Linked DNA regions of Kluyveromyces lactis. The protein of the gene in region 2 purifies or fractionates together with the protein of the main gene of each other region. This does not show direct contact. Links are inferred from orthologs where the notes say so. Each region holds a gene or a part of one and is shown on either strand. Other genes may lie near its edges. The genes, in order: DBP3, NOP56, NOP9 and BUD21.

Region 1 (8,395 bases), on a different chromosome or scaffold from region 2:
TGCTGTGCAAGAAGACCCCGCGCATGTAGATGCATGGTTAAAGCTTGGATTGGTTCAAACACAAAACGAAAAAGAAATGAATGGTATTAGTGCGCTTGAGCAATGTTTAAGCCTAGACCCCACTAATCAGCAGGCACTCATGACAATTTCTATCAGTTATATTAATGAGGGATATGATCTGACCGCTTTCAGCATGCTCAACAGATGGCTAGATAGTAAGTACCCTGAGTTAACACGCTCCCCTACCATTGATGAGGCCAATATCGATAGGTTTAATTTGAGCAAACAAGTAATCACGAAGTATTTGCAAGTAGCTAACGCCTTGCCTCAGGTGGATCCAGAAGTTCAGCTCGGTTTGGGAACGCTTTTCTATGCCAATGAAGAGTTTGGTAAGACAATTGACTGTTTCCGCACCGCATTAGAAGTCAATCCAAATGACGAATTAATGTGGAACCGTTTGGGAGCCTCTTTGGCCAATTCAAACCGTAGCGAAGAAGCTATCCAGGCATACCACAAGGCCCTTGCCTTGAAACCGTCTTTTGTGAGAGCTCGTTATAACTTGGCCATTTCGTCAATGAATATTGGCTGTTATAAAGAGGCTGCAGAGTCTCTGCTCTCTGCTCTATCTATGCATGAAGTAGAGAATGTTCCAATTACTGGATCAGTCGTGCAATCTAACAATATTCTGGAGACCTTAAAGCGTTCCTTTGTCGCCATGGATAGGAGAGATTTGCTAGAAAAAGTCATGCCGGGCATGGATCTACAGCAATTTCGTAATGAGTTTAACTTCTGATAATGCAACGCAGCGAATAGTCTTTGTTTGATAGGACCATCCTCATATTCATAATGAATTGATCTTTCACCAAGTTTTGCGGAAAAATACATTCGCATAATTAATTACAAGCATTTAGTCGCATATATGTAGTCGTCATTCGATTGTATTCCTCAACGAATAGTGCAGAGGTCCATGCTCACGATCAGTGTACCAGTCAAAGTGTTATGGTAAGCTGTCGCGGTATCTAGAGACAGATTGCGATTCTATCATTTCTACCGGGTAACATTTTCTTGTTTTGGATTTCTTCATTTTAAAGCGAGTTGCAAGAATTTGAAGTAATGTCAACAGAGTAAAAATATATGTTCTCTATAGATAAACTCCAGAGTAGTACAAAACAATCATTTACTGGTTGTTGTTTGTGTATCTAAGTGATTTCGTTAGTACTTCAATACGTTAAGGAAATATAGTGTGACTGCTTGGAGCAGAAAATACTATTGATCGCGTTTTGCTGTTTTTCTGAGGCATCCAACTTGATCCGATTTATTGTATATTGTACGTGAACGAGAGACCAGTCAGAAAATCTAGATAGGATCAATGACTTCGAGTACACCTTATGAGTACTCATACGAATTGGATGAGAAAAAGCCATTAAATTTGGATTCCAATTACGTGTCGTCATTTTCAAAATATAAGAGGTACGTCCTATGGCTGTTTTCCATACTTTTCATATTATTTTGGTTAAGTGATTTCTCACTTGTTGCAGCTGAACCCAAGGTGGTGATAATTGTTGCTGTCAATAGTGGTGGCGGTGGTGTTTTAAAGTGGAAATCGGAACAAGAATGGGCTATCGAGCGTATTTCTATCGAAAACAAACGTGCATACGCCAAAAGACATGGTTACGGATTGGTCATTAAAGATCAGGCACTATCAAAGAGATACTCCCATGAATACAGAGAGGGCTGGCAAAAGGTTGATATAATGAAACAGACTATGAGGGAATTCCCCAATGCTGAATGGTTTTGGTGGTTAGACGTGGAAACTCTTATCATGGAGCCCCAACTTTCTTTGGAAGAACATATCTTCGATAGACTAGATGAAATCGCAAACAAGACTTTGGAAGCTTTCAATCCTTTGCATATAGCTACCGATGTGGCATATGTTGACTATTCACAACCGTCAGATATGTTAATTACACAGGACTGTGGTGGTTTTAATTTGGGTTCTTTCCTAATGAGAAACACTGAATGGACTGAGCTTCTTCTCGATATATGGTGGGACCCAGTCGGATATGAACAAAAACATATGGTCTGGGAACATCGTGAACAAGACGCTTTAGAAGCATTGTATGCTAACGAACCTTGGATTAGAGAGAAGATCGCATTTCTACCACTAAGGCAGATCAATGCTTTCCCACCAGGTGCTTGTGCAGATTTCAAGTATGACTTGCGCTATTTCTATAACGAAAAGGAACATGACTTCGTTGTCAATATGGCTGGGTGTAACTTTGGTAGAGACTGCTGGGGTGAAATGCGCCAATACACTCAACTGATGCAAACTCTTCACCGTAGATGGTACTCGATGTTCTTTTAGATTCTCAATTTCCTTTTGTTTATCACTTCAGTTGTATTTCAAAAATTATGCACTGCTCCATTGTACTAATACTGTAAAATAAAAGGCGAAGGTACAAGAAGATCTTCGATAGAGTATCCCCTTTTATACTTTAATGCTTTCCCTTTCAACACCATTCTTCGTTGCCTTTCAAAGTCATTGTTTGAATATCGCATATTTAATACGTCTTTAATTTCAATTTTTATCGTGAACATTCATTGTACAAACTTCGATGCAAGAGTAATTGTAAACTTTTATTTACTCTGTATTGAATGAACTACTGTACATAATGGGGGTGATTGCTAAAAAATACAAGAATTGTCTTTATAACGGATTTAAATTAATCAAATGTAATCTTTTTTGGTTTCTTTGATAGGTCCACATCCTTGAAGAATGCACCGTACGCACTATGTTCCTTCTTCTTTGTGTGAGTACCGAACTTCTTGAGCTCCTCAGGAACAGGTTGACCAGCACCATTTAAGACATTAACAAGGGCACCTGCAAGATGCTTTTCTTGCTCAGTGAACAATGTGTGTGCGGTACCGTATTGACCAGCACGACCGGTTCTACCAATTCTGTGAACGTAATCTTCTACTGTTAGAGGGAAAGTCAAATTGATAACGGTTTTCACGTTTGGGATGTCTAAACCTCTGGCTGCCACATCAGTAGCTAAAAGTAAGTTACATTTTCCTGCTTTGAATTCATTCAAAGCTTGAGTTCTTTGCTGTTGAGAAAGATCACCGTGAATGGCAGCAACATCGTAACCGTTGTATTTCAAGTTTCTTTCAACACGAGAGGCTTCCTTTTTGTACAAGGCAAATATCAAAACTTTGTCGTTCTTTGTTGGGCCTGAATGGTACTTCTTCAACAGTTCCAACAGTTTTTTTTCCTTTCTGAACGGATCCACAACTTCCACGATCTGAGTAATTCTTTTGTTTGCTGACAGTTCATCTCTGTTACCAATAGACACTTTAACCGGTTCACTCATGAAACTTGAAGCAAGTTCACGAACTTCTTTTGGCCATGTCGCGGTAAACATCAACGTTTGTCTAGAGGTGGATCTTGTTTGTCTAATGATTTTTTTGATATCTTCCTCAAAACCTTTTTCCAACATTCTGTCAGCTTCATCCAAGACCAGGTAGTTAACATGACTCAAATCAACAGAGCCTTCCTCTATTAGATCCAACAGTCTACCTGGAGTAGCAACAACGACTTGGGATCTCCTCAGATCTTCTCTTTGCTGATCCTTTGGAACACCACCGTATACGCAACAAGATCTTAAACCACACGCGTCAGTAAGAACAATCAAATTATCGTAAATTTGAGAGGCCAATTCTCTAGTTGGTGAGATAACAAGTACCTTGACGGAACTTGACTTGTCTCCTGATGTGACAATGTTGTTGATAGCTGGAACACCGAAAGCAAAAGTCTTACCCGAACCAGTTTCAGCGATACCGATAACATCCTTACCAGCTAATAGATATGGCCAGGAAACAGCTTGAATTGGAGTTGGTTTTGGGAACTTAGAAATTTCCTTTTGAATCTGATCAATAAACGACACTTGGGAAAAGTCTAAATATGGTACAATATTGGAACCTGATGGGTCGCTAACTGTAACCTCATTTTCCTTCAAAAATTCATCAATATCAGATTGAGAGGCAGAAGCAGCAAAGCTTTCAGTTTCTGATTTCTTATCCTTTTTCTCCTTCTTTTCTTTCTTCTCCTTCTTATCCTTCTTGTCTTTCTTGTCTTTCTTGTCTTTCTTGTCTTTCTTGTCCTTCTTCAATTTTTTCTTACTCTTCAACTCCTCATCTTCCACCTTTCTCTTCTTGTCCTTTAATTCATCTTTTGACATTCTGGACTATTTGCTTGAGCTCTAATGGTTAAGTATCACTACTACTGCAGATTCTGCAATCATATCATTCGAAAGCACTTAAGTCATCTCATCTCATCTCAGCTTTGTTATATAAAATTTTCAATAATCAAAAAACATTTCTTTTTACTGACGCCAGCTGAATTACAACAAGAGACAAATATATAATTAATATAGCAACGGAGGATCCGTATAATTGATAATATATTCTCAATTAATTCCGATACAGCAGTACCTCAGTTCGTATATATCTAGTAACAATAATTCAAAAGACAATGCAAGTATTATATTTAGTAGGTATATTAAACAGGTGAATAAACGTTAAAAAAGACAAGAAACGAAATGCGATAGGAAGCAGTGTTTATCATTTAGCATCATAAGCATGGAAAGCTTCAGTTGTTACTGACTCCTGATTGCTATCGGTGTTTTCATCTTCTCTGATATAGAAAACTTTCTTTGCCTTAAATTGCCAGAATCCTAAGTAGAATAATAGGAACCCAACAATGACGACTGATGCATAATTCATGTTATCTTTTGTCACTGGCATGACAGCTGGGAAACAGAAAAAGACTAAAGCGAAAAGATTCCAACCCAATAAAACGATATTGGAGAACGCTCCGAATTTTCCTAGCCAAAATGGGCCATGTTTAATATTACGTTTACGCGCCAACAGACATACGACCGGAACACTGTATGAGAACAATAAGAACGCAATACACCCAGTAATTAAAGAATTGAAAGCGGTGGTGGAAGCCATGTATAAGCAACCCAATAGCGAAATCAAGGCACATGACAGCAAGTGCGCGTTCAATGGCACACCCAATTCAGGATCAATTTTAGCCCAGTATTTAGAGTATGGGATACCGTTGTCTCTAGCAAATGACCAACACAATCTTGCTTGCCATGTATGGCATGCAATAACACATCCAAATGAGGTGAAAAGGATGAGGCAACCCAACACTACAGCACCTGGAGTAGATTTGGTAGCTTGACGGAAAATTTCCAAGATTGGCATTCCGGTATTGGATGAAGCAACAGCCTCTAGATCTTGTAAAGAGAAGAACATAGCGATGACGTAACTGAAAGAAGTAAGGAATCCAATGCCCACTGTACATAGAATAGAGATCGGAATCACTCTTTCAGGGTTTTCCACTTCAAAAGCCATGTGAGTGGCACAATCTAGACAAGAGAAGGACCATGCCGGGTTGATTAAACCGACAATGAAGGCAATGACTCCATTTTTCCAGCCAGTTTCGTTATAGAAAGTAGCAAAAACGAACTTGGCATCGTTATATTTACCATGGGAACAAGCTAGCACGGTCACTGTAATGGTGAAAAATGAAATCAATGAGATGTACAATGACGATTGAGAAATGACTGGCAAAGCCTTACCAGAACAGTTGAACATCATCAAGAACAAGTGCAAGATTTGGAAACATACGAATACATGCCATCTCTTGACTTCAAAATCTGGATGGGTCAAAGCGTACATGCCTACCAATTCAGAAGCAACTGAAAGTGTGGTAGATGCACTAGAGAAAATCGCACCTGCCCATGCAAAAGAACCACATAGATAAGCAGCTAGTCTTCTGTATTTTGGTGGAGCCAACTGCAACGACCACCAGAACTGACCACCAGCGTGTGGGAAAGCAGAAGACAACTCACCTAGAGTCACAGCAATACAGATAGAGATCAAGGCAATGATAATGATACCGTATACGACCATCATTGGACCACCAGAGTAGATACCAGTAACCATGGATACCGAGATACCAAACCAAGAATTCGTCAACCCGAACCCAACACCTAAAATCGACCATAGAGAGAATGATTTACGCAAATGACCTTCACCTGTACCACCGTACGCATCGTAAGCATCTTTACTCGATATACTTTGTTCTTCTAGTTTACTCTCCTCATGAACAACATTTTTGATACCGTTATCCGAACTGTTATCGTTGAATCCAGTTGAAGATCCTGCCATCTCGGAATTAGATATCTCTCGCATCTTCAAAGAATATCCCTAATACTACCATCTATATAAAAATACGAAACAAGACACACAATATAAATAAACTACCAACTCATCTCATCTCATATTAACTAAAAACATATCAGTGTCCTTATATAGGATTTGGCAATTCCTCGAAATGCAGTTTTCTGGTTGTCTTTTATCTTTCCATTTTTCAAATCGTCTCGAAGACGAAGTTTTTCATGACATGTGAAAATTAAACCTCATTTGGCCCAAAATCCCACTTCCGTCTCCTAAAAGGAATTTCCTTTGCTTTATGGAATTGACATGGATTTAGTATAGATCGTGGATTTTGGATTAACTGGCAGAGTTATATGTGAAGTTAGTCTAGACAGGCTGGTTTATGTACATATATATATATATATACCTATCGGTGTGTTTCTTGAAGTGAGCGGAATAACACAGGTTAGGAGGCATGGTCGTTGAACTTTCTTCCGTAGAAGAACATTACTTGAAGAGAGAGTTATTAAGGATTGAGTTGAATACAGAGTTTGAGAAGCTTAACGACATTAATGCATTGAGGAAGTTCGGGTGCCCCTTCTCGGATGAGGATCCGAAGAGTAAGGGCAAGGCTAAAAATAAGAGTCATTCACGAAACAGCTCGGTTTCTAGTCGTGTTTCATCAACGCTTAATTCTGATGATGAGGTGAAACAGAAATTTGTTGGTGAGTTTCCGGTATTAAGCCATTTCTTGCAGAATTTTGTAATGACGTTCCCATTGTTGTCCAAGGAGTTGGTTAAGGATCCGTCGTTTTGGCAGGGTAAAGTTCAGGTGTTCTTTGAGCATTTCATGTCTTTACCGTTCAGTTCCAGTTTTGATAGAGAAGAATTGACAAAACGTCGGAAGATGGCATTGAAATTGTCCAAGGTGATTTTATTGTTCTATAACTCTGGGATCGGTGTGTCAAAGGAACGTCAGTACTACGAGCAAGAGAAATATCATCTTACTAAGGATGCAGAGAAGGCTACCAAGTTGAATAAGTTTACCATGCCAAGCAAGGATAATTTGCAGTACTTATTGACGAACGAACCTATCTACTTCAATGGGATCGATATCAATGTGATAGCCGTGGTAGAGCATCGGTTACTTTTCCCTGATGATAAGGTGAAACCAAAACCGGCTAAAAGTGTTGCAAATAAATGGATGAAATCAAATCTAGGGTTTGATTTCTCGAAGCTATCGTTGATTGATTCTGGTAGCTCTAAGAGACATCAAAGCTATTTTATGATACGGGTTCGTAAGGAGGACCCTGCAACTACTGTTTTTGTTTATAAGACCTATGAGGATTTCAAAAGATTGGCTAAGGATTTAAAGACTGGATACCCGGGTAAAAAACTACCGCAATTACCTCATAAGAACAAGATCCAGGCCTCTATCAAACAAGATGGTGTTGATGTGACAGAAACGCTTGAATCCATTACACAGCAAGCGAAAGCAGACTTGGAGACAGACGAGATTGAGTACGAAGAGTTCGATGAAGACCAGCACGACCAGAGCTCAGAACAAAGTTCAGAACAAAACACTCCTAATATCAACAAGAACCGAACGTTGCCTCGTGAAAGAATGAGAACGTCGTTGAGACAATATTTGAGAACCCTTTGTCAGGAAAAGGAAGTGGCTACAGGTACACCTTTAAAGAAATTCTTGTTCTCTAAAAGTGAACGTCTTGAGGATGCTGAACTCAATTCTGCTGTTAAAAATGATATGAAGAACCGTGAACTTGTAGATCTGACCAACATAGAGCATCAAATCAAATTCCAAAAAATGGCCTTCGAAAGGTCGTTGAAATTGCAAGACTCATTAAAGGAAATGAAAACTTCCTTGCTACAAGATCAAGACTTCTTGCTTGGATTATTCAAAGAGTTTAAGGAGAAAAGGGACCCGTACGAGTTATCCCCAATCTTGAGGGATTTCTTTGACTGGTGTAAGATCTACATGTCAGCAACCCTGTACCAAATGTTTTTGGGAGATGATAGCGGGTATGAACTTTATAAGCAAGTCCGAAGATTACATAAGTTGCTGCCGTATACAATCATGATTCAAATTTTACGGTTTACTAATCCAATAGCGATAATGAAGGGTATGATGGATTTGTTTATGGCTCAG
Region 2 (6,639 bases):
AGTTCGCTCCTTGCAACTTCCAATTCTTGCTGTTTGGATTTGATGTTGGTCTCGCAACGTTTGATCTCGATTTCAATGAATTCGAGTCTCTTCTCAACGTTCCCCTTTGCTTCAAACTGTTCCACTGGCAGAAGTACACCACCGGTTAACTTATACACAGTAGCATCATCTTTCAAACTCGAAAACTCATCGCTGACGATTTTGTTCTCTTGTAATTGCGTTTCTAGCTTTTGTCTAGCTACGATCAGTTCTTCTAACTCGCCCTGTAGCTTTGTATATTTCTGTGTGGTCTCTTCAGCAGACATAGTATTTATGTGTATCGGTGTGTATCAGTAATAAAGTTCTATAATCAGCGATTCAACAGCCCGAAGTATCCTGTTCCTCTTTGTATTTTGTTCTGCTCTCATCACTTAAACATTCCTTCATTAATTGAATTGAAATAATCAAGTTGTTCTTTTCAGATTCATATTGAGGCAAAACACTTCCAACAAGAAGATAAAACTTTGAATGAGCTGCTTCTACTTCATTTTGACTCTACCTCAACACAGTGATTGCTCAAAACACGCATAATGCTTACGGTATGTTTTGTTTCCCAATTTAAAGCTTCAGCAGTCCCATACTAACCATCATTTAATCCTTTTAAATCCTAAGTACAGTTCAAGCAATGGCAAAATGATCAAGTACCAAGACATCAGATAGACCCAGTGGTCCAATCCGATCCATATTCTTTGGTGAACAAAACTACGCCAACGGTCACAATTGAACCTGAATCTTTGGATATTTCGCCTTATAATCATTGCATTGTCTTGCCTACATCCTTAAAGTGGCTACTTCCTAAGAGTATTATCAATTTGGTACATATAGGTATCATCTCAGGTACCCTATCAAACATGAACGAATGGGAATCAATGAAACCCGTACCTGGAATGTATGACACAGAAGAACATATGATAAATTCTACGGAACAGTTCGTGATACATTACAATTTATGGAGGTTAGAGGATACTTTGATCGCAATAATCGATGAGAATGAAGTGAAATACCCAGCCATTGTAACGAATTTCATGACTAGAAATTTAGCACAATTGCTTAGAGACATTAAGGATATAACAATATTAGTAAATTCGGACAAAATAACAGAGTTGAAACAGTTGTCCTATTTAGTCCCTCCCGAATTTATTACCGGTTCTATCACCAATTTCATTTTAGCTCTACCAAGGAAGGAACTCAAAGTTATTGTTGTGCCTTCTGAGGGTCCAATTGGTTTTGAGAAATATAATTTCCCTACCGTTGATGCTTTAGTAGATGAAATGTCGAAATTACTTTGCTCGTACCCGTCACAGACAGAGTACTATGTATCGGAATGCTTAAAGCTTTGGAAACTTGACGAATGTACCACAACTCAAGGCGGGTTATATATTTAACGTGTCTTTAATCAAATATTGGGATTACACCCGTTCTGTTTTTTAGTGACGATAATTGTCTAGTATTCTAATTAAAATATGATTTGGGTGATATACAGATGTAATATGTAACAATGGTTAAATGATGAGTTGCATGTTTGTAGACACGAGGTTTTCCTTATTGTCTTAGGATACAAGTAGGAGCGTTAAAGGTGCAATTAAGAGCTTTATAATTATGAGAAACCGGAATGACTTAATAATGTAAAAGTGAAAAGTTAAATGTAAAGTGACGAGTTTAAACTGAAATATGATGAAAAAAAATAATAATAAAGTCGATCAATCTTCGGAAAATGATTGAAAAGTTGACACAACCTAATCCTTATTTTTCTTACTCTTCTTTTCCTTCTTATCCTTCTTCTCTTTCTTCTCTTTCTTTTCCTTCTTTTCCTTCTTTTCCTTCTTGTCCTTCTTGTCCTTCTTGTCCTTCTTAGACTTCTTTTCCTTCTTCTCTTCTTGTTCAGAGTCTTCTTCATCGTTAGATTCTTCTAGCTTTCTCTTCTTGGAGACTTCAGTCGTATCCACTTCTTCTTCGTGAGCTGGCTTATCTTTATTGTACAATTCGATGGCTTCCTTGATAGCAGATTCATTCTTCAAAGTTGGGGTACCAGAAGCATAGAATTCCAATCTTTGTTCAACTTGTTTCTTTAGCACTTGACCGAAAACGTTAGATGGTTCATCGGAGTAATTATCGATTCTAGAAGCCATAGAACATTTGTTAGCCAAATATCTAGAGATTCTACCCTTGTTCTTAGCACTAGCTTTAGCGATGAAACCACTGTGGTAAATCAAACCATACTTTGGTGTGTTACCTTTAGTCTTCAAAGCTCTGAACAATGCCTTTTCAGCACCCAAGATTTGGACAGTAGAGGCAGCTTGCTTAGAAAGATTGGTCAAAGAACCAGAATGAGAGATCAATCTAGCACCGATAACTTCACCGATCAATTCGGACAAGTTTGGAGCCACAGTGTGCATCTTCTCACATAGGTAATCGTATAATTGTTTCCTGTATTCAACAAGGGAGACAACTCTCTTAGCGAAGATGGTAACGTTTTCCATATCAGTTTCAGAAAGATCTTGACCCATAGAGATACGAGCGTTATCGATCACTCTTTCACTGATACCAGCATCGTTATCCAAAATTTCCGATAAATCGTGCAAGGATTCTTCGTTCAAAGATGCCTTATCCTTAATGAATAGAACGAGTTTAGCAAACTTGTAATTGTCTGGGACTAACTTTGCCAACTCTGGGAAATGCCAACCGTACCATTCCTTCACTCTCATGGCAAAAGTGTTGATATCCTTATCCAATTGATCCAAGAGAGCAATGGCTTGAATGATATGGTTATCGTTTTTCTGAACAGAGAACTTAACCTTAGCACGAGAGTAAGCATGACCCAAACCAAGTTGAGCTCTTTCCAAATCACCAGGTTGTAAATCTTTCAATAATTTGTCACCGTGTAATCTAACACCACGAATCAAATCCTGAGCTAACTCATTAGAAATACAATCAACAAATGGAAAAACTTCTTTAATGGATGGACCTAAGTTCTTATCAGAAATAGCCAAAGTAACAGTCTTCTTAGAAGAACCCTTTGGTAAATTTAAATCCAACAAAGCTTTCAAATGTTCAGAGACTAAACCTTCAGAAATATCATTAGCATTTTCCAAAGCTTGAGCAGCACCTTTGAAAGGAGCAAAAGAAACCAACTCAACTAACTTAGTGAAAGAGCCGAAATCATTGATCTGTTGCTGGACTTCCTTCAAACGAGATCCGATATCATCCTGTTGCAATTTCACTTTGAAGATACCATACCCGGTAGGTTCTTCGAACAAAAGATATTCAATAGGAGCCATTATTTAATTCTCTGATCAATAAAGTTTCCTCGCTACCGTAAAATCTCTTTGATCTGGACTCTTCAACACACACTAACTTCGGAATGAATGAACAAAACTCAAGATAATACAGACAAGTATTAATTGAAATATCGCTGTGCACATAACACAATATACAATATATTCACTGGTCAGAAAGCTCATCTCTCTTTATTGGCTTCGAAATGAAAATTTTCCAAACAAAAAAAAAAGAGCGATGAGCTTGAAAAAGAAAAGCAGAATGGGAAATATATTTTACTTACCCGGCCGCGGCCGGGTAAGTTATACACGTGATCGAATGTATTACCCGGATATAGAATAATTGACAAAATCACGTGACCTGGAATTTTCTTGTCTTTCCAAAAACAAAACAACGAAAGGAAACTCGAAATTGTATTCAATGAATTCAATTGACACTTGACTATCACTACTTTCAGAATGAATATAATTCCCTTGTTTTAGGTTTTATTTAGGCGTGATTTCTCTCCCCTGATATCAAGGGTCAAACGGTAACTTTATTGGTACATACGGATGGACGATCAGTTTTTGTTCCCGGACGAGAGTGATCCAATGAATTCTGGCGATGGCCAGCTTTTCGGTCAAGGAGGTTCGAACGGTGATGAGTACCTTTCCTTCCTTGATAACTCAGGCGCACCCAACCAGCAAGGTATACCTGATAGTAATTTAGGGCCGATGGAAGATGTTAACGCAGGCGTAACGCCCCAGGCTATATTGGCTAGAAATTCATTCTCAACTGTCAATTCACCTCCGTCGATGAAGAACGGTGGAGTCTCTATCTCTCCACAATCCATGTTTTCTCCAGCCGCAGGACCAATTCCTATGAATACAGCCAATGTAGCACCGACGCAGTCTCCCGCCGGCACTACTTCTTTACAGCAGATGTTATCGCAGCGTGGAACGCCGCAAAATGTGCCAAGTGGATCCCCTACAATGGCCGATGAGTCTTTAGCTCAGGCGAGTGCTAGTAGACAGAGCCCTCAGTATATGGATAGAGCCGCAATAATTGCTGCGCATCAACAGAGGCAACAGCAACAGCAACAAAAGCTACAGATGTTGCAACAACAGCAGGCATTCAACCAATTACAGCAGCAGAAACTAAGACAACAGCAGCAACAAGCACAGGCTCAAGCGCAGGCACAGGCTCAAGCACAAGCTCAAGCTCAAGCCCAAGCACAAGCACAAGCACAGGCTCAAGCTCAAGCCCAAGCTCAAGCGCACATACAAGCACAAGCGCAAGCACAGGCGAGAATGCAACAACATGCGCCTCAAGTACAGAATCAGTCTAATAACCAAAGAAACGTTCTACAAAATCTAGATCCAGCCATTCAACGGAAAGTCGGTCAGGAATTAAACACCAAACAGTTTGAACTATTTAGAAAATCATTTTTGGAACATTGCAGGAGAAAGAATCAACCCGCAGATATTGCTCAAATGATTAATGGTACCCAGGTCAGTTTCTTCATCTTATACATGTATGTTCAGAAGCTTAACGGAGGAGAAAACGTCACTAAAGCACAACAATGGCACATATTGGCGAAAAAGATGAATATACAAGGACCAAATGCTGGAGAAGAATTGGCAAAGACGTACTACAGATATTTACTACCGTACGAAAAGTACTTGATGACCCCAGAAGGTATTAAAGAAACTCAAACCAATCGTATCATGTTACAGCAATTACTTCAGGACATTATAAGAAACATTAGAACGAATACACCGCAGTTCCAACCGCAGGTGCAAAATCAGTCTTTTATGCAGGGTCAAAACGTAATACAACCGGATTTACAAATGAAGCAACAACAGATTCCTAAGGCTCAAGGCAAAACAAAGAACACCGTCCCAAAACAAGCAAAACCTAAACAGCCTAAGAAGCCAAGAGTGAAGAAGAAGACTAAGAAAGAACTAGAACAGGAAAGAAAACAAATGGAAGAGCTGCAAAAGCGTCAACAACAAGAAGCGGAGCAACAACAGCAGCAGCAAAAGCTCATATTCGAACAACAATTGAAGAAACAACAGGAAATTATTTTGAAACGTCGTGAAGAGCAAATTAAGAAGCTTCCGAAGGTGTATAAGAGAACGATGGCCAGGCATTATAGTCCCACCACAAGAGCCATCACCACGCAAAATGGGTATGATATTTCAAAGATTTCAGCTCTTGGTGAGATGATACATAATTTTAAACCCATCTTCCTCTTTGCGCCGGAGTTTGGTGTCGTCAATATCAATGCAATTGCAATGCAGTTACAAAGTTCTAATAACCCGGAAGTCAATACCGCACTAAACTCATTATTAGTTATTAGCTCCGATAACACTTTATCAATTCCACTCGATAAATGTCGTGAGCTTTTGGATAACCTCTGTATCTTGGCGTGTCAGTTACTGCATAAACTATTGAAGAAGGATTATTCAAGGATATCAGGGTCTTATACTGAATATGATGAACAGCAGTGGATTAATACGCCTCCCAAACATTCGGATTCCTCTGATACTCATATTGATAAAATTTTCAAGGAAAGCGTCAAAAAATCTGGAGAAGATCAATCTGAATATACAGTAAAGGTAGACTCTTTAACTGGTATAGATTTTTCTCAACTTCCGATCACACCGACGGAACCAGAAATAGAAGTCGATGCGACATTACCTGAAGTCTCACTGGAGAAGGACGAAGATGAGAATGATATTGAATACTTACCTGATTTGTTGAAAGACGAAAATCTCGATGAAATCAAAAAGCTACATTTCATTTCATATATGGATTCTCTAACTAAAGTCAAAACGGAAGTCGGATCCATCTTTAGCAAGTGTCACCGTTCTGGAGCAGAGGATCCGCACTTGTTGATTGTTGACCAATTGACAACAATTTCAATGATCTTGAGAAATCTTTCATTTAACGAACAGAATTCACAGGTAATGGCTAATAATTACCACATGGAAAAATATATTGCAGATACTCTTTGGATGGTTTTCATTCATAGAGATGAGTTTATTTTTGAGCGCAGGGTTTTAAACTTCAAGAAGGATTTGATTTTTATTCTATCTAATATTACACATATGTTGAAAATTGAATCAACAGTAACTTGTTTGTTAATCATAATGCTAGCGTTGAGCTTCGCTGATCCGAAAGATCATATTCAAGAGAATAGCGTCTTGACATATGCAGAGTACACCATGAATGTTGAAAAATGTCAGACATACGGTGCGGACGTCTTGGCTAAACTTCTTTCTCTTGGTTACCCAAATAGAGCACATTTTAAGTCAGTATTAACTGGTGTTTTCACTGAAG
Region 3 (9,024 bases), on a different chromosome or scaffold from region 2:
GATGGCCATACCCTTCAAAAAGAGAATATTAACAAGGAAAGAGGAAAGCTACTGTGATAGAGGTATTTCTAATCTCGAATTGCACACTATTGATTAACCACCATGAGTGACGAAATTTCCAAGTTAAGAAACCAAGTTCTAGAGCTTCAGGGTCTCGTTAAGAGGCAAAGCACAATGTTGGCGAAGACTGGCCAATCTGTCATTGAGTTGCAAATAGCACAACAAAAGACGGATATCAGAAGCTTAGATCTAGAAAAGAAGCCCAACAAGCCTGCTGCTGCGGAAGCTTCCTTGTCAATTGATACATCTGAGTTTGCTACTAACGGAGATTTGGAACAATTGGTGGAAGAATTACAAGGACAACTTGATTATCTTGAGGAAAGATCAATAAGAAGAGTAGCAAACAATAATAAAAGAGACCCAGCAGATGCGATCGGTCCATTACCTAACGCTGACGGCGATTTGCCAATCGATCTTAAAATTCCTTTACCGGAAACGGTACAAGAGTTCAGCAATATCAAGGATTTGGATTTATGTAAGGTAGCTGAATTTTATGGCGTATTGCCATTCCCACAATCTGATCTTGAAGCAATCACTGAGGGCTTGCGTAATGAAGAGGATGTTTCAATTCCTACATTTACAGATGCTACTGCGGCTGACCAACTAAAAAAATACACTAAAGAAGAAATGGATGTTATCTTTGACACTGTAGCAAGATATTTAGGGTTAAATAATAGAAGAACCAAAGGCACTTGGTAAACTTTTATTGAGAAAAGATAATGTTATAAAAAAACAAATGACTGGAGTAGAGTTATAACTATACATACTATCGTCTGTGTACGTGACTTGGTTGTTTATATCTATGTATATATATATAATTTACAACTGATTACTTTGATATGTTGAAGTACATGCTTTCATGATTATTTTTTCTGGAACTTGCTCTTCTTGAAAGAAGGTGAAACATCCGAATTGTTGTTATTATTAGGACGCTTGAAGGTCTTTGGTTGTAAAGGTTTAGAATCTGGGAACATTTCGAGCTCTTGTTCTTTTACTATTTTTTTCCAGTCGTATCTCTTTCTTACAAATAGTTCAAGCGACCAATTCTTCCACACTTGTCTACCGTAAACACTGTTCTTGACCTTTTCAGAGTCTGCACATAACGCAGTTGCTATACGTTCCTTGTACATAGCCAATTTAGCCGTAAATGTCCATAGTTTATCAACAATGTGGGAACCATATGCGTTACAGGATAAGTTTACGATATCTTTGCATAACACATTGAGTAAGAGTTTTCTTTTGATGATGGCAACTCTTTTAACCTGTAGAACATGTTCAACAACGTGAGAAAACACACCATGGTATGGCATCTGCAAAAGTCTTTCTGCTGGAAGATTCAACATACTGTCAATGGTACTGTTTAGGAAGCAATCATCGTAATCAATCAACTTCTCTAAGAATAGAGATTTTCTCCTCTCTTCAGCAGTTGGCCAGTCATCTCTAGTGTTACCAAGGGTAGAGGAACTTAACTGAAGACAAGATTCTAAGATGTTCTTATCAGATGACTCACGAGGATAGTATTTCTTCATTAATTGTTCAATGATTTCGTCCCTCAAATAATTATCATGACGGATACTGGCATCTATAATTTCAGTACCGAAATCCATGTTAGAGTTCAACAAAACGCTCAAGTCTGGGACCAGTTCATCCATAATCTCTTTGACTTCCTTAGAGTTCAAGACTTTCAAAAGTGATTGCAACACAAATGCAGCAGTTGTATCTCTTTTAGCAAGTTTTGGAATTCTATCCTTCATGTATAATCTGTATAATCTTTCCACGTACTTGATTCTAGTTGATGCAATAACATTCTGCAAGAAATGAGATCCAACAGCATCTGATAGTAAGTACTCCACAAATGACTCTTCCTTGGGATCCTTCTCATCAGAATCTTTGAATATTAGATGCCAGTATGACCTGTCTCTATCGAAGATACCTTCTACTTGTATTACCAATTGAATCACTGGAGACCCGATCTTATCAACACATATTTCCCTGAATTTCATAACGTCAGCGAGAGAAATCTCAGAAAAGTGTCCAGAGCCCTGTGGAATACCATGTGTGAAACTAGTGTAGATTGAAGATAACATAGAACGAAGAACAACTTTGAATGAATCGGGAGTCTTGAATATTTTGTTATAGTTATCGTTATCCTTAATGTCAATCATCTTACGTGCAATCTTAGACTTCTTGGAACGTAATGTTGAATTGTTCTGTACAGTACTTGGTAAAGTCTTTGACGATAGCACTAAGATTAAAATTCTAAGGACATGTGATGCATATTGATGGCTCACCATGAACCTTAAGTTCGGTTGCAACTCGTTAGTCAAAAACAAAAACAATGATTCAGTAGTAACGAATTCACCCTCATCAACAGAATCAAAATCAGGTGTTAACAATTCTTTTTCCACCTGTGCTGCACCTCTGACTAATAGAGTCTCTAAAACATGGGAGGAATATTTGTGACATGCAAGGTTGAAATAAAACCCATTGAAAGCTTTGAAGATAGTCTTCAATTGAGTTTCATCACTTTCCATAATAATACGTTCCATTAGCTTAGAAGAAATCTGAGACGTAGCAAGTTTCAACTCTTTACCCTTACTTTCCTCGATGACACTGTTGATAAACTGGTACTTCTCATCTGGATTCTCAAATGTATCAATAGCCAACGTGGATTCAGCCTTCTTAAAATAATCCAATTCGCCAGAATCTAGGACACCAAAGAAAGTATTAGGACTCACATCACTATTGTCACCCCCAGCAGTTTCATTAACATGGCTAACCGTAGGCTCATCATGGGTTTTATTGTCTTCTGGATGGAACTCATCTTTCTTGAGCTTTTTTATTAGCTTTCTACCTCTTACTCTAGCCATGATATTACAGTTCCTAGCCTTTTTTTAGAGCACGTATCGAATTAAAGTTCAAAATTATTTAAAATAGCAAAAACCAGAGATGAAACGCCTGAAACCAGCAAGTATTCTGTTCTAGTTTGAAGCTCATCGCATGGGATCTAACTATGTCCTGCTTCTTTAAAGCTTTTCATTGAAAAGTTGAAAAGATCAGAAATTTCTTTTTGACGTGATATCAATCACGTGATATAGAATTGCACAAAAGACATAAGAGGTAGGCATATTAGGCCGTCCTCTCATGACTTGTTAACGGTGTTCTTGGGGACTTCAGGAAACGAAAACGATTGTAATAGTTGATTGGGGTCGGTGTTGGTGTATGATTGTTGCTCTACACGTTTCTTTTCCTTTAATTGAGCCAGTTTCCGTAGTCTGTCGACTCTTGATTGGAATACTAGGTCGTGTAGAGTGTATCTATTGCACGTCTCTCTTGATGCAGCTAGCTTATCAAGTGTCGCTTGGTACGTTTGCTGCAATTCTTCAAGTGAGTTTGCTTCATCGGTCTTCTTCTTGTCGTCAGAACTCGCGTCATCCCTGTCCTCTTTCTTATCATCAGATGATGATGGCTTTTTAGAGTCAAAGATCTTATTAACCCATTGATCCCAGGTACCTCGCTCTTTCCTTTGTAGCTCCTCTATGCGTTCTTTGAGTGGCTTAAGACTAACCAGAGACTCGTGATACTCTTTTGGGTATAGAGGCTGTACAAACTGCGGGTTATCAACTAGATGTATATCGCATGTATAAAACCAATCAGGTCCGCTTCCATTGAACAAAACTGTGACTGTAGGGTTACCACATATCAGACATGCTTTCCTATCCTTTGCTGAGACTTTCTTTCTGGTGTATTCGTTCTTCATCAGGGGCGCTGGAAGTTGTACGCTGGTAGGAGATTAGTAGGGGTGATAGGTGGTGATTATATCTTGCAAAGTTGGAACGCTTAGATTGTATTAATTAATTATTGGTGATTACACCTTGATATGAAGAAAACGAGACAAAACGAAACGAAACAAACCACATCAAAGCTAGAGTTTGAGCAGTGCAACACCGTTATCATTCGATTTATAAACTACGTATTTGACACTATATGATGACAATAGAGACGTATGGATATTTTAGCCTATTTATACATAGAAAAAGAAGGACCTCAGGTTTACAACTTCTTCTTGGCTCTTTCCCAAGCATTTCTAGATTTCTTATTACCTCTTCTGCTTGTACTATCCTCCAACTTACGCTTGGAGTTGAAGATACTGAAATCTTCACCGGCGATCATATTAACCTTGGCCATGATTTCTCTTTGTTTTTTCATTCTCTTGTCAGTCTTGGATCCGTTGGGGTTCAATCTAGTGAAATTTTCTTCTTCGAATCTTTGAACATCACGTTCACGTTCTGTATCTCTTGCTGTCTTCACACCACCTCTACCATGGTTGACGATATTGGCACCGATAGAAGTTTCCCATTCCGGTTGTTCCGAGGAATCCTTCAAGTATTCTTCCATAGCTTGCATACGAGACCTGCTACTCTTATCCTTATGTTCTTGTGCGTTGAATTTATCCTCGAAGTGATGTTGCTTTGGTGGCAGAACGGCACTGATCTTAGGTGGTCTATAAACGTTATCTTTATCATCCACATCTTCTTCATTGTGAGTACTCTTGACAGCGATTTTCCCCTTGGCTTTCCCTCCAACTGATGTGTTATTGACCATTCCTGAACTGTTCGGCCTATATTGCATCTCTTCTTCACTATCAGAATCTGAGTCTGATACTTCTTCCTGGGAAGCACGTACGTCACTCAGTCCCTGCAATTCGGCTCTTTTCTTGGATTCTTCAACGTCTTTCTCCAGTCTAATGTACGCCCGCGTCAATTTATCCAGCTGGTACCCTAACTTCTTCTCCAAGGGCTTCACACCTCTTTCAAGAACAACTCGTTGTTCCACTGCCCTGACTCTACCCTCATCAACAACCATCTCTTTATTCAATTTCTGTCCCAATACCAACAGAAGCGAATTCAAATACGATAGCATACTCCCATTCTTCAAAGAAAGTAGAGAAACTTTTTCTAATTTATCACCTTTGTGACCTACCACCGCTGAACCTTGGAAAGGATGGGTCTCCTCATCATCATAGACTTCTTCTAACTTATCCAAGCTTTCTCCACAAGATTTCAAAGAATCTCTAATCGTTTTCAAAACAGTTCCTAACTCCTCAGACATGGCTATATTTCCGCTGTAACCCTTGTCAATAGAATGTAATGAGGTTTTATACATCAATAACAGTAGATCGAACCTATGCCAAACCCACACCAGACAACCAAACTTGTATCTGGCTGATACCCATCTCATCTCATCTCATCGCTTGATTCCAAATTTTTTTTTTCACTACGTTTCTTTTCGACATTTCCTATTGAATTTTTTTCTTTCAATGAGAAAAGCATACAAAGACAACTTGAACAACTAGCTCATCGCATGGGTTAACATGTGGTAAGAAGTCCATTCAAGGAGTCCGTGTGTCCGTTTGTGATTTAGAAGTAAGTCATCACCGAACAAGTCGTTCTTACAATAAAACAAAGATGCCTCAAAACGAATATATCGAACAGCACATCAAGCAACATGGTCGTAGATTAGACCACGATGAGAGAAAACGTAAGAGAGAAGCCCGTGAGGCTCATAAGATCTCTGAAAAGGCTCAGAAATTGACTGGTTGGAAGGGTAAGCAATTTGCTAAGAAGCGTTATGCTGAGAAGGTTGCTATGAAGAAGAAGATCCGTGCTCATGAGCAGAGTAAAGTTAAAGGAGGGTCCAAACCGTTGGATGAGAACGGGGAGGCTTTGCCTACTTATTTGTTAGACAGAGAACAGAACAACACTGCAAAGGCTATATCCAGTTCCATCAAGCAGAAGCGTTTGGAGAAGGCTGACAAGTTTTCTGTTCCTTTGCCTAAGGTCAGAGGTATCAGTGAGGAAGAGATGTTCAAAGTTGTTAAGACAGGTAAGTCTAAGTCTAAGGCATGGAAGAGAATGATCACGAAACATACGTTTGTTGGTGAAGGGTTTACAAGAAGGCCTGTGAAGATGGAAAGGATTATCAGACCTAGTGCTTTGAGACAAAAGAAGGCTAATGTGACGCATCCGGAACTTGGAGTCACCGTTTTCTTGCCAATTCTTGCGGTGAAGAAGAATCCTCAATCGCCAATGTACACACAGTTGGGTGTATTAACCAAGGGTACTATTATTGAAGTGAACGTCTCGGAATTAGGTATGGTTACTTCTGGTGGTAAAGTGGTTTGGGGTAAATATGCTCAAATCACGAATGAGCCAGATAGAGACGGTTGTGTCAACGCTGTGCTACTTGTGTAAGAACAAGTACAACCTATTACTACCAAAATTCCTACTCATCTCAATTATTCCCTATTGCATCACCCCCCACTCCGCTACGTTATTGTATATTACTATTTCATTTTAGAACTGAGTTCCCTTATTAGAAAGTACTGGCTAAATCATCATTATTTAATCATATATTTAGCGTTAAATACTGAATTATAGCCAATGAGACTGACAATTTCATGCCTCGCTGCCGTTGAGATACCAGCTATTCCAATGCATTGAACTAATTGCTACTCACACGTCGTGTCAATTGACCTTCTGGACCCTCAGGTTACCCTAAGTATTCATCTTTATTGTTTCACAATAAAGTAGGGTACTACCCTACCAAATCATACCAAATAATTTTATCTATATATATATATATATTCAGTATTATACATACACATTCTTTGCGCTTGATATACACAAACTTACCTTCAAAACAGCACTTATTAGGTCAGATTCTAGCACTGGTCCATATACAGATACTAGCGTCGACGTTGTTCAGGAAAAGAACATCATTGATCCCACTGGAAACGAAGTAGTTCCCCAGATCAAATTGATTTCTGGATCTACGTTCTAGTTTTCACCACAGAAACTGATCCGTAAGCAATCAGTGCTTTTTCCAAACCCCACCAGTATGTATTGAAATTTGTCCTAACGGACAGCCCCTTTACCCATTAACCTTTACCTTCTTTCCCCCTGTTCTGCATCTACAGAAAGCTTTTGCCAATTAATGATCCAACTTGAGTCTCGTTTAAATTACTGTTATAGTGATACTGAAAGTAGCACTATACAGATTCTCATATTAGAACTGTTGCAGGTGACTACAGTACCTTTGATCCAGCCTCTTCGCTCAATCCAACCCTCTTTTTGATTCACATTCTCGTCCTGATTTAGAAGTGCCGGACAATAATCCTGGCCACGGTGGACTTCTCTGCCTAACAGCTATTTCGATCGTGAAAAATGTCTGTCCAGACAGATTGTCCGGCACGTGAGCAACCCTGGTTTTCCCTGAATCATTTTTCTCAAATTCCTGTCTACGCTCATCTGATCTGCCTAGACCGCGGGCGGCGCCCCCGGTCTGGCTAGGCAGGGCAATAGGAAAGCAGATATTTCCTACGCGGGCGTCTACGTATTTCTTGAGTATTATTTTTCATTATCCCTCGAATAGTATGGAAGAATCAGAATCGTATAAGAATAGAGAGAATCAAGAATCACAGAGAGTTTGCATTGTAAGAAGAGCGTGTTACTGGAACAATTGTTTGAGGTTTTCCTGGTGTATACAACAGACCTATGAGTTTTAGGGTACGCTAGACAAAAGATCAGTTTCTGATTTGTGGGCTTTTTATACTTTCGCTTGTTTTATATTTGTTTGCTTCCAGATCTGGTACCAGATCAGCTGCGAACTAAATTTGGTTTCATTCAAAGAAAAGAGTAGAGGGAACAAGAGGATACTATTCAGCTGAGATACTAACAGATTGTGTTTAGACTAAACTGTGCTTTTTTTTTTTTCTCTCCAAGTCCCTGTTTTCGTCTGGTGATTAACCTTTGAAAGCTATTCTTTCCTGAAGAAGATCTTATAATAGAATCAAAGATTCAAGTATTTAGGGGAAGCCGGAGTCGAGACATAACTAGTGGATAATGCAATTCCATCATCAACCCCAACTGTCAGTTAACTCTGTTCAATCTGTCATTGAGCCAGTGACTCCGCCGTTGGGCCAGATGAACTCTAAGAATAACCATCAAAGAACACATTCTTTGGATTTGTCTGGATTCAACCAATTCATTTCCAACACTTCTCCTCTGAATGTCAATACAATGTCACCGCTGAGTACGATTTCTGCCACGACATCCGTGTCAACGGCTGCGTCTAGTTCTGCCAATGCGAAAAATCGTATGAAATCGTTGCCCTTGATCAATGAATTCGAATCCATCTTACCTCCGGGAGGTTCTGCAGCTGCTGATTTAACGTCATTGACTTCAACTGCTTCTTCACCAAATGGTTCCACTAGTACATCTCGTGGGACTGGCGCACGCGGGAATACAGTGTCGTCAAGTGGTGGTAATACTGGATCGAACGCATCATCAGCATCGTCTTCATCAGCGTCATCATCTACTGCGACAACTTCTGCAGTGACTTCCATGAACGATTTGCATAATATCCGATTGAAGGACTTGGATTACGTGAAATTGTCTACAGACCAATACGGTTGTAGATTCTTGCAACGAAAGTTGGAAACTCCTCAAGAATCGGATCAAGTGAGAGATTTAATCTTCGAGAATGTCAACAATTTCTTCTTGGATCTAATTTTGGATCCATTCGGTAACTATTTGATTCAAAAGCTATGTGATTATTTGACAACTGATCAGAAAACCGCAATGATTAAAGATATCTATCCCTCTGTATTCCAAATCTCCATCAATCAATATGGTACCAGATCCTTGCAAAAGATCATTGATACCGTTGAGACCCAAGAACATATAGATATGATCATTAGGGGATTTTCTCAGGAGCATACATCAATTGAACAGGTAGTCACTTTGATTAATGATTTGAACGGTAATCATGTCATTCAGAAATGTATCTTCAAATTCCAACCAGCAAATTTTGATTTTATCATTGACGCCATTGTCAATAACGATAACATCATTACCATCTCAACTCACAAACACGGGTGTTGTGTACTGCAAAAATTGTTGA
Region 4 (7,701 bases), on a different chromosome or scaffold from region 2:
GTACTTTCTATGTCTGTCCTTGGGTAAAGTTCATCTGACATTTCGAATACATTTCCGATGTTTAGCTTTCTAATAGAAGGAAGTTCATTTAACAACCTATATAGCACACTTCTTGCAATGGCAGAGTTCATGATGTCTAAAGTCTGGACCGCTCCAAGATTTGCAAGAATGGGTTCGATTTGTTCATCGGTCCACATTTGGCCATTGAAGCTCCTATTAGATTCAGTGGAACTTTCCCTAAAGGTGAAATATTTTAAGCGCTTCAAAACGTTTGGCTCTTGCAAGCTCTGTAAGAATCCCATCAAAGACAAACCGGTGTTCCGCTCTAGCCAAAGATCCGTGAGGTTGGGGAACTTTTTTATCCAATCTGCAGTCTGGTTAAATCTGAAATCACGGTTGGTAACAATAAGTTTTGACACATTGGCAAACCGCAGGGTGTCCGAAGAAAAGATGCAAGCAAACGGCGTGGGACCTGTCCATCCATTATCTTTGAATATTAACTTAATGGATTGTAAGGAACGACTTATATTGTCATTGTTCGGAAACTGCAATTGTCTGCGTCTGTGTATGGAAGAATTTCTACCTGGCACCATAGCGGTCCCAATAAGTACCTCGATTTTCTTTAAATTATCGATACGTTCAAGGAAAACAACATCCTCATCTGCCCAATGGTTAGGATCATAATGGCCAAAGACAGAGAACTCTTGAAGATTCGCAATCAATTTTTCCTTATCCGAGATCAATTGAAGTACCTTCAAGATATTCAAATTAGTGAATTGTAAGACCAGTTTCTTCACTTCCTGGTCCAATCCGTTGAACAGTAACTGTGAACACTTAGCTTCTTCATTAGTGGCCATTACAGAGAAGTTCAGATATTGAATGACGGAGCTCACACACCGTTTCGTTTTCACGAACCTTAACAGTGAATTAATCTTCGAATAATTTGTCTTGGGAACACTTAAATAGTCTATAATCATTGGAGTGGTCGATAGTTTTCGATACCAAAATTTGGATACCAGCATACATGATGTGATATCCTTTGTATCCAATCGCCGCATGATAGATATCACAAGTTCTGTTGGGAAAGTTTGGATAGGGTCTATAGTTGCTCGTTTCATTTTCTTATTCATCGTTGAACCGTCATGGTCTTGATCTGTATCGGAGACAAGGTCATTTTCCTCAATGTCCTCATTGTTAACTAGTTTCTGCTCTATTAAAACACGCTTCTTACTTGGTATCTGTTCGGAATTCCTAGCCCCGGATTCAGCATCATTGCTATTAACCAACTGCATAGCGTTCCTTTTCAATAATTCCTCGTACCGATCACTGAAAAGCTTCTCATGTACCGGAGACACGAGAACCCCGCGTTCCTTCAACTCTTTCACAAGTTTCCTTCCGCTCTTGTATACCTGCCTTGCCCTATCACCCTTATCAGCCAGCTCGTACGACTTCCCGAGCCTTAACAAGGCCCTAGTACTAGACGGTTCAATCTTGCAGAAATACTGTGATTCCTTAACGGCTCGTGCATAGTCGCCAACTTTCATCAAACACGATATCCTGCTATCCAATAGTTTCACGTACAGAGGATGGTAAGCCTTACTCTCATCGTAAGCACATCTCTTGGGCATTCCAGCACGTATACGAATATTTTCCACCATTTCCATCGGATACGATCGTGACACTTTCATGGCTTTTGAGAAAAGACCCAACGCCTTGGAATATTCCCTACATTGCATCCATTTCAGCCCCAGCTCATAAGTCCTAGTCAGCAGCCCATCGTCTAAAGCATCGATTTCTTCACCCATTGGTTCATTGTTAATTTTACAACAAAATGATGCGTCACCAGTTGCTCTCTTTATCTACAGATTAAAGTGTCACTGTTTTCCGCACTGCGTTCTTTACGGAGATTTTACCAACCAGTTAATCTCACTCTACCCACTGCTACAGTCGTGCAGAATGGCATTAACACAATGCACCCGGTTATATCCTACATGTTTTTCCATAAAGAGATATGTTCAGGGTCCAATTCTTACTTCGAACATCAATTCTAAATCGCACGATTTAACCTTTCAACGTTGATATATAAGGTAAATAATGACAAAACACGTTGATATGACTGGTCTTTGGCACTAATTGTGTGCGTTATACGTCAGGACTGCAATTTGAATCAAGATTGGTAGCGGTAATAGACACTAGTGAGAGGTGAACACGGATACACGTTTGATTAACCATGTCTCAGCTGCTAGAACCTTTACTTTCGGCAGTATTCCTATTCTTTGCGACATTAGGAACGGGGCTTATCCCGGTGATGTACATGAGTAAGCTAGCTGAGAAGGGAGACTCTGGCATGGGGTACTTGAAGTATGTGTCTGATTTCGGTATTGGTATGTTGTTAGGTACTTCTTGTTTACTAGTGATACCGGAAGGTGTCGAGAAATTCGGTGATAAGGGTGGCCGTGGGTTTGGGATCAGTTTGTTATTGGGATTCATGATTCTATATGGACTAGATAGGTTCTTACATGCACTGCAAGCTGGTCACATCTTAAGTGGTTCGTTTGATGCTTCTGCTGCGCCTGATCCTCTTGAGAGGAATATCGATTTGATCAATCCAAGGAAGACGGTGCCATTTATCTTAACGAACAATATCGTATTCGCGTTGGTAATCCATGCATTCTCTGATGGACTGGCGTTGGGGATTGCCGAATCCTACGATTCGTTGAAATTCGTGATGTTGATCGCCATTATTATACATAAAATTCCTGCGACGCTTTCCTTGACGGGGATTATGATTTCGAAACAGAGATTACCCAAACTACAAGTAATCTCTAATCTTATTGCATTCAGTATATCCACACCGTTCGGGTTGCTATTCGTGATCCTGATGAGATTCGTCAGCAAGGACCTAATCGAGAAAATGAGCGATGGGCTATTGGTTCTGAGCGGTAGTAGTTTATTGTATGCTTCATTGCTTGCGTTGATCTCACCAAGTAAGGACCAGGAACAACAGTTACAGAATGATGGCCCGATCCCAGTGTCGGGTTCTGTTTTAGAGATGGGCGAAGGTGTTACCACTGAAGAGAAAATAGAACAAGAATCACTTCCAGATGTCAGATTGTTACTCTTGGGTATCTTTATCCCGTTAATGATCTCTTTCTTCGCTCCTCATGATAGCTAAAGCCAATCAGGAAACTCCTCTTTTAGATAATACATTATACACGAGACAAATCACATGTATAAAGACCTGTATATTTGAATAGATAGGTACATGTGGGCACAAATCCTCTTCTATTTACGTTTGAGACTTCTTCTTTTCAACCATTTATCCTTTGATTTCATGACACTGGTTTCCTTTTTTGGAGCCAGTGTCTTAGATACCTTCATCGACGATAGCAAGTTCACAGTGACAGGTCCTTTCTGTATTTGGGTCTTTCTCAATTCCCTTAGTGATCTCTTCTTTTGTTTCCGTAATTCTTCTTTTAGGGCCTGTTCTTCTTCTCTTTGCGCTTCTGCCGAGAAAGTAATATGTTTCGGCGTAGCCTTTGCGAAGGAAGATGCAGATCCACTTTCTAGCTCATCAAAGAACTCTTGTGGTAACTCTTCCGGCTCATCATTATCCGAACCCTGCTGCGCTACTAATTGTCGTTCAAACTCTAACATCTTTTCTCTCTGTTTCTCCTCCTCAGACTCGAGCAGCTTCTTCTTCTTCTCTAGCTGCTGTTGCTTGAACACTTTCTCGTTCTTTCGTCTCTTCTCTCTAGCTGCCTCTTCTTGTAACCTTGCAGCCTCTTCTCTTTCCTGAATCCTTTTCTCTATAGCATCTTTCCCACTACTCAAGCCTTCTTCTTCTGGCGCATCGCTATCACTCTCACTCTCACTTTCACTTTCACCATTCGCTTCTGCTTTTGTTGGTTTGAGAGCATCTAGGGTAGAGTTGCCCTCATCAGCTGTATGGAATGAATCATCCGCATCATCATCGAACTTCAAGTGTCTCTTCGCTACCAGTGCAGCACCAGAACCTAGAACTTTCTTCAAACCCATTGTTATATTTCTCAGTAAACTCTTGCCACTTGTCTAATCCAATGCACAATTGAACAGAAACACTGACAGAACGGTAACACGACCTGCTTCATGGACTAGTTCCAGTGGTTCATCTCATCTCATCTCATCGCTTTGTCCAAATTTTTCACTTCGAAAAGAAATGATACGTAAATAGAGGTCACGTGCTGAAGATTTTGTTCCTGACACTGGACTACGAGTAGAATGCTCATCACCCGTTAACGGACTGTGCTGTGTATTGGCTGGTTCTGGTGCTATTTGTTGGTTAGATTATATCAATTTATATCAACTTTATTGCTATGCTAATGGTATTTAATGTGTAGCTTGCAGTACTGAAACATCATGACACTTTAAACTCAATATCACAGAACTGGGTACCAAAAAGCATTCTTGCCACGTCTGTACCCATTATCCAGCATATACATGCCTTTATAATAACCAAGAGATATGATCTACCAGTTCCTGTTACTAAAGAATATATTATCCCAATGACACAGATGGTGATTAGGATATAAGTTATGATGACAGGATATCTTGCGTATAGCATTTGCAAGAACCGACTTAACGGACTGGTAAATGGTGATTCCCTGGATGGGGGAATTGAGGGTGACTGCACGGGGTCGCCTGAACATGGCTGATCGCTTGATGGTGGTGGTATTGGAATTGGCAACGAGGGTGTTGACCAGCAATGTATCTGTGCAGTGGGGTTGGACTCTGGGGAAATTGTTTGGTATGTTGTCAAATCAGGCAACTGTGATTCTAGTAGCGGTGACGATTCCTCCGCGACGCCGATATGACCCTTTTCTAAATCGCTGGCATTATATACCAAAGAGTCACTAACATTTCCATCAGGTAATGGTCCTACTATTATCCTAGTTGGTGTGCTGATTGGAACAGACTCCGGATGTGGTGAAGATTCCACAATGCGGACAGATTTATTCTCATGTTCGTGCGTGCCATCAACAGGTCTTAATATAGACTTGATTGGTATGGGAGTGCTGCTTTTCTGGCTACTGCTCTCACCGGATTGCATTGGTGGGTCCAGTTGTTTGGGTTTAGGTTTGGGTTTGGGTTTAGGTTTCGCTGCTGAAGCTGGTGCGTAAGTGATTGGTTTATTTCGACGTTTAGGCGAAAACCGCTTATTCAATAAGCTCTTCATATGATTTAGCTCTGTACAGTAGAAGCTGACGTTCTCTCTAAATATCTAGATTCAGATCTCGACCTTGAACGGTTGGAGAACGTCTTATGTCGTGTTCTCTATTAAAACGTTTGTGGCTGGGATCTAAATTCAGTTCAATTTGACGTCTGGAAAACTGACACAAGGAATTACCGGCGATTGAACAGCCGTGTCACTTCAAAATCGGGGGTTTAGTAGGGTGTAACCATCTGTAACAACAGGACAGCTATCTTGGAGAGCCCGTGCTTCTAAGTGCATCGCTCTGTGTTTTCTCTTGTGAGGTGGTATCATTTATTGCAATATAGGATGAATATCACGTGACCATAAGGTCTCCGGTTAAAGGTGATCTAGATATATTGACCGTCAATATGATCACACAGGTTGTAACACCAGTTCCGTGCATTCTTCTGCTCTAACTAAGAAAGGTTGTAGTTCACTTCAGGGACGGTTAGAAACCAACTCTTTCCATCGTATCCTTCATTATTCACAACTCCGCCACTATATTACAAAACATTTAATTAATTCATCAAAGAGATTAACACTTTGAACACTGTATATCTGGAAATCAGAGAAACATATGCTGTTGTCAAGCCTCTTAGTGTCGGTAAAGACTCAAGGTCAATTGATACTAGTATAATGGCTGATCTTTACGAGGCTAGAGTTAGTTCTGGCGGTTTGTCGAGGCCTTCAGACACGGATTTTTTGGATAGTAACGACAACTTTGATGATTTGGACGATGACTTCCTTGACATATACAACTTGAGCTGGAGGCAACGTATTGTTCAACATGGGAAACGGCATTTAAGAAATGGCAAGGATAAGTTTAATGCGTTGAGCAGACGAAAGAAGGCTCTTGTGGTGTTTTTAGGGGTCCTTGAAATCATATTAATCTTTATCACAGTAGTTAAAAGGGAAGCGATAATGAAAGGGTTGGTGGATGCCTCTAATGATCTGAGACAGAAATGGTACACACCTCTAGTTCTAATGCTACTTATATTAGCGGTTTCGTTCCCGCCATTGATCGGATACTCATTTTTATCTCTCTCTACAGGTTTGATCTATGGGCTTTCCTTCAAGGGTTGGTTCATTCTTGCCATGTCCACTGTGATTGGATCAGTTCTCTCATTCACAGTATTCCAGAGATTGTTGCATTCCCATGCTGAGAGATTGATCAGAATGAATCCCAAATTAGAAGCTGTATCATCGGTATTACAAGGTAATGACAGCTATTGGATGATTGCTCTTATTAGACTTTGTCCGTTCCCATATTCTTTCATTAACGGTGCGATAGCTGGTATTTATGGAATCTCAATCAAGAACTTTGCCATTGCTAACATCATCACCACACCAAAAGCGGTTATTTATCTCTTCGTTGGTGAAAGGCTCAAAAACATGGGAGAAACAGACTCGGGTTCTACAAGGTTAATCAATTTCATCTCTATTCTATTGGCTAATGGATTTTTAATATTAACAACGTGGTTCCTCTATTACAGATTCAAAAAGAGATACTTAGAACTACAATCTGAACAGCAAAACTCTTTTGACATCTTTTAGAAAGAACGGCCCAAACGTGAGTTATATCTTGTATTATTCGCAAACAAAGTTGCAATGCTACGTGTGTAGCGCGGTATATACTTCAATGAACGGTCCCCATTAATATTACATATATATAAGTGCCTCATTTCGTTGGCTTGAAAACATTTTTGAGCTTCTTTTTCGGTTTCTTCTTAGTCACCTTCGATGTGGATACTGTTAGATTTATAGGTCCATCTCTTATATTGGCTTTTATTTCCTCTTCTTCTTCTTCTTCTTCCTTTTGACCCGATTTGACTTCTTCAGCGTTGGCCTTCTCGATTTGTTTCTCCAAGAGCCTTAGCTTAATCTCTTGGTCACTACGTTCGGCTTGTTTCAATGACTCTATTTGTTTCTTCCGTATCATATTTGGTGAAGACGAGTCGATATAACTTATCATAAACCGTCCTGGGTCTGTATCGCTAGTAAGCTCATCTATTCCATGGATCCGTACTTTCCCCCCCTGGCTTAAATGTTGTATAAATCGCGTCAATGATGTGAATCTCGTAGCGTTCATATGGACATGGTCTTTGTCCTGAATAAACTCATTGTAGAACTTATTAGCTTCCACTTTCTTCTCACCGTGCATAAGCCGTAGCAATCGAAGGAAATCCTTCTCAAACTGAACCGTATACTCTTCAATATCCTTATGAGTCACTTTACTAAGCTTCTGCAAGTGAGATGGCGACTTAGAATGCGATTTGAACCCATTCTCGTCTCGACATTGTTTCTGACATATCTGACAATAGAATCGAAGCTTCTGCAAACCTCTCATCTTCATCTGCTTGTTCAAAAACGAAGCACTACCAACATCTCCGGATACCATGGTGTCTGGCTTACGATCTTACTATAGTCTGATATTCCCTAAACACCTCTATGCTTCTAGGATTCTAGAA

Evidence for each region.
Region 1: the proteins of NOP56 (region 2) and DBP3 purify together in Saccharomyces cerevisiae (affinity purification with mass spectrometry; 3 studies listed by BioGRID). This does not show direct contact. The link is inferred for Kluyveromyces lactis from reciprocal best matches to the Saccharomyces cerevisiae genes NOP56 and DBP3.
Region 3: the proteins of NOP56 (region 2) and NOP9 purify together in Saccharomyces cerevisiae (affinity purification with mass spectrometry; 3 studies listed by BioGRID). This does not show direct contact. The link is inferred for Kluyveromyces lactis from reciprocal best matches to the Saccharomyces cerevisiae genes NOP56 and NOP9.
Region 4: the proteins of NOP56 (region 2) and BUD21 purify together in Saccharomyces cerevisiae (affinity purification with mass spectrometry; 4 studies listed by BioGRID). This does not show direct contact. The link is inferred for Kluyveromyces lactis from reciprocal best matches to the Saccharomyces cerevisiae genes NOP56 and BUD21.

Annotation. Positions count from the first base shown.
Region 1 is NC_006039.1:1,342,478-1,350,872, forward strand, and holds DBP3 (RNA-dependent ATPase DBP3), read right to left. Parts: upstream 4,239-8,395; coding exon 2,724-4,238; downstream 1-2,723. Other genes in the region: PEX5 (Pex5p), read left to right, coding at 1-793; MNN10 (alpha-1,6-mannosyltransferase), read left to right, coding at 1,370-2,365; HNM1 (Hnm1p), read right to left, coding at 4,621-6,264; LEC1 (Lec1p), read left to right, coding at 6,704-8,395. UniProt on the Saccharomyces cerevisiae protein: ATP-dependent RNA helicase required for 60S ribosomal subunit synthesis. Involved in efficient pre-rRNA processing, predominantly at site A3, which is necessary for the normal formation of 25S and 5.8S rRNAs.
Region 2 is NC_006040.1:1,041,755-1,048,393, reverse strand, and holds NOP56 (snoRNP complex protein NOP56), read right to left. Parts: upstream 3,318-6,639; coding exon 1,776-3,317; downstream 1-1,775. Other genes in the region: tubulin-binding prefolding complex subunit YKE2, read right to left, coding at 1-305; PBA1 (Pba1p), read left to right, coding at 570-578, 657-1,424; SWI1 (Swi1p), read left to right, coding at 3,867-6,639. UniProt on the Saccharomyces cerevisiae protein: Required for 60S ribosomal subunit synthesis.
Region 3 is NC_006041.1:1,203,124-1,212,147, reverse strand, and holds NOP9 (RNA-binding RNA processing protein NOP9), read right to left. Parts: upstream 2,931-9,024; coding exon 924-2,930; downstream 1-923. Other genes in the region: MRP8 (Mrp8p), read left to right, coding at 103-759; VFA1 (Vfa1p), read right to left, coding at 3,203-3,820; small subunit rRNA maturation protein LCP5, read right to left, coding at 4,114-5,301; rRNA-processing protein NSA2, read left to right, coding at 5,529-6,314; MPT5 (Mpt5p), read left to right, coding at 7,965-9,024. UniProt on the Saccharomyces cerevisiae protein: RNA-binding nucleolar protein required for pre-rRNA processing. Component of the 90S pre-ribosome involved in production of 18S rRNA and assembly of small ribosomal subunit. Component of the pre-40S ribosome required for release from the nucleolus.
Region 4 is NC_006037.1:679,827-687,527, forward strand, and holds BUD21 (Bud21p), read right to left. Parts: upstream 4,039-7,701; coding exon 3,286-4,038; downstream 1-3,285. Other genes in the region: DNA-binding SCF ubiquitin ligase subunit DIA2, read right to left, coding at 1-1,805; Mn(2+) transporter ATX2, read left to right, coding at 2,231-3,175; KLLA0_A07645g (uncharacterized protein), read right to left, coding at 4,397-5,215; TVP38 (Tvp38p), read left to right, coding at 5,870-6,787; RTS2 (Rts2p), read right to left, coding at 6,912-7,631. UniProt on the Saccharomyces cerevisiae protein: Functions as part of the small subunit (SSU) processome, first precursor of the small eukaryotic ribosomal subunit that coordinates the first two steps of ribosome biogenesis in transcription of the primary transcript pre-RNA and pre-18S processing.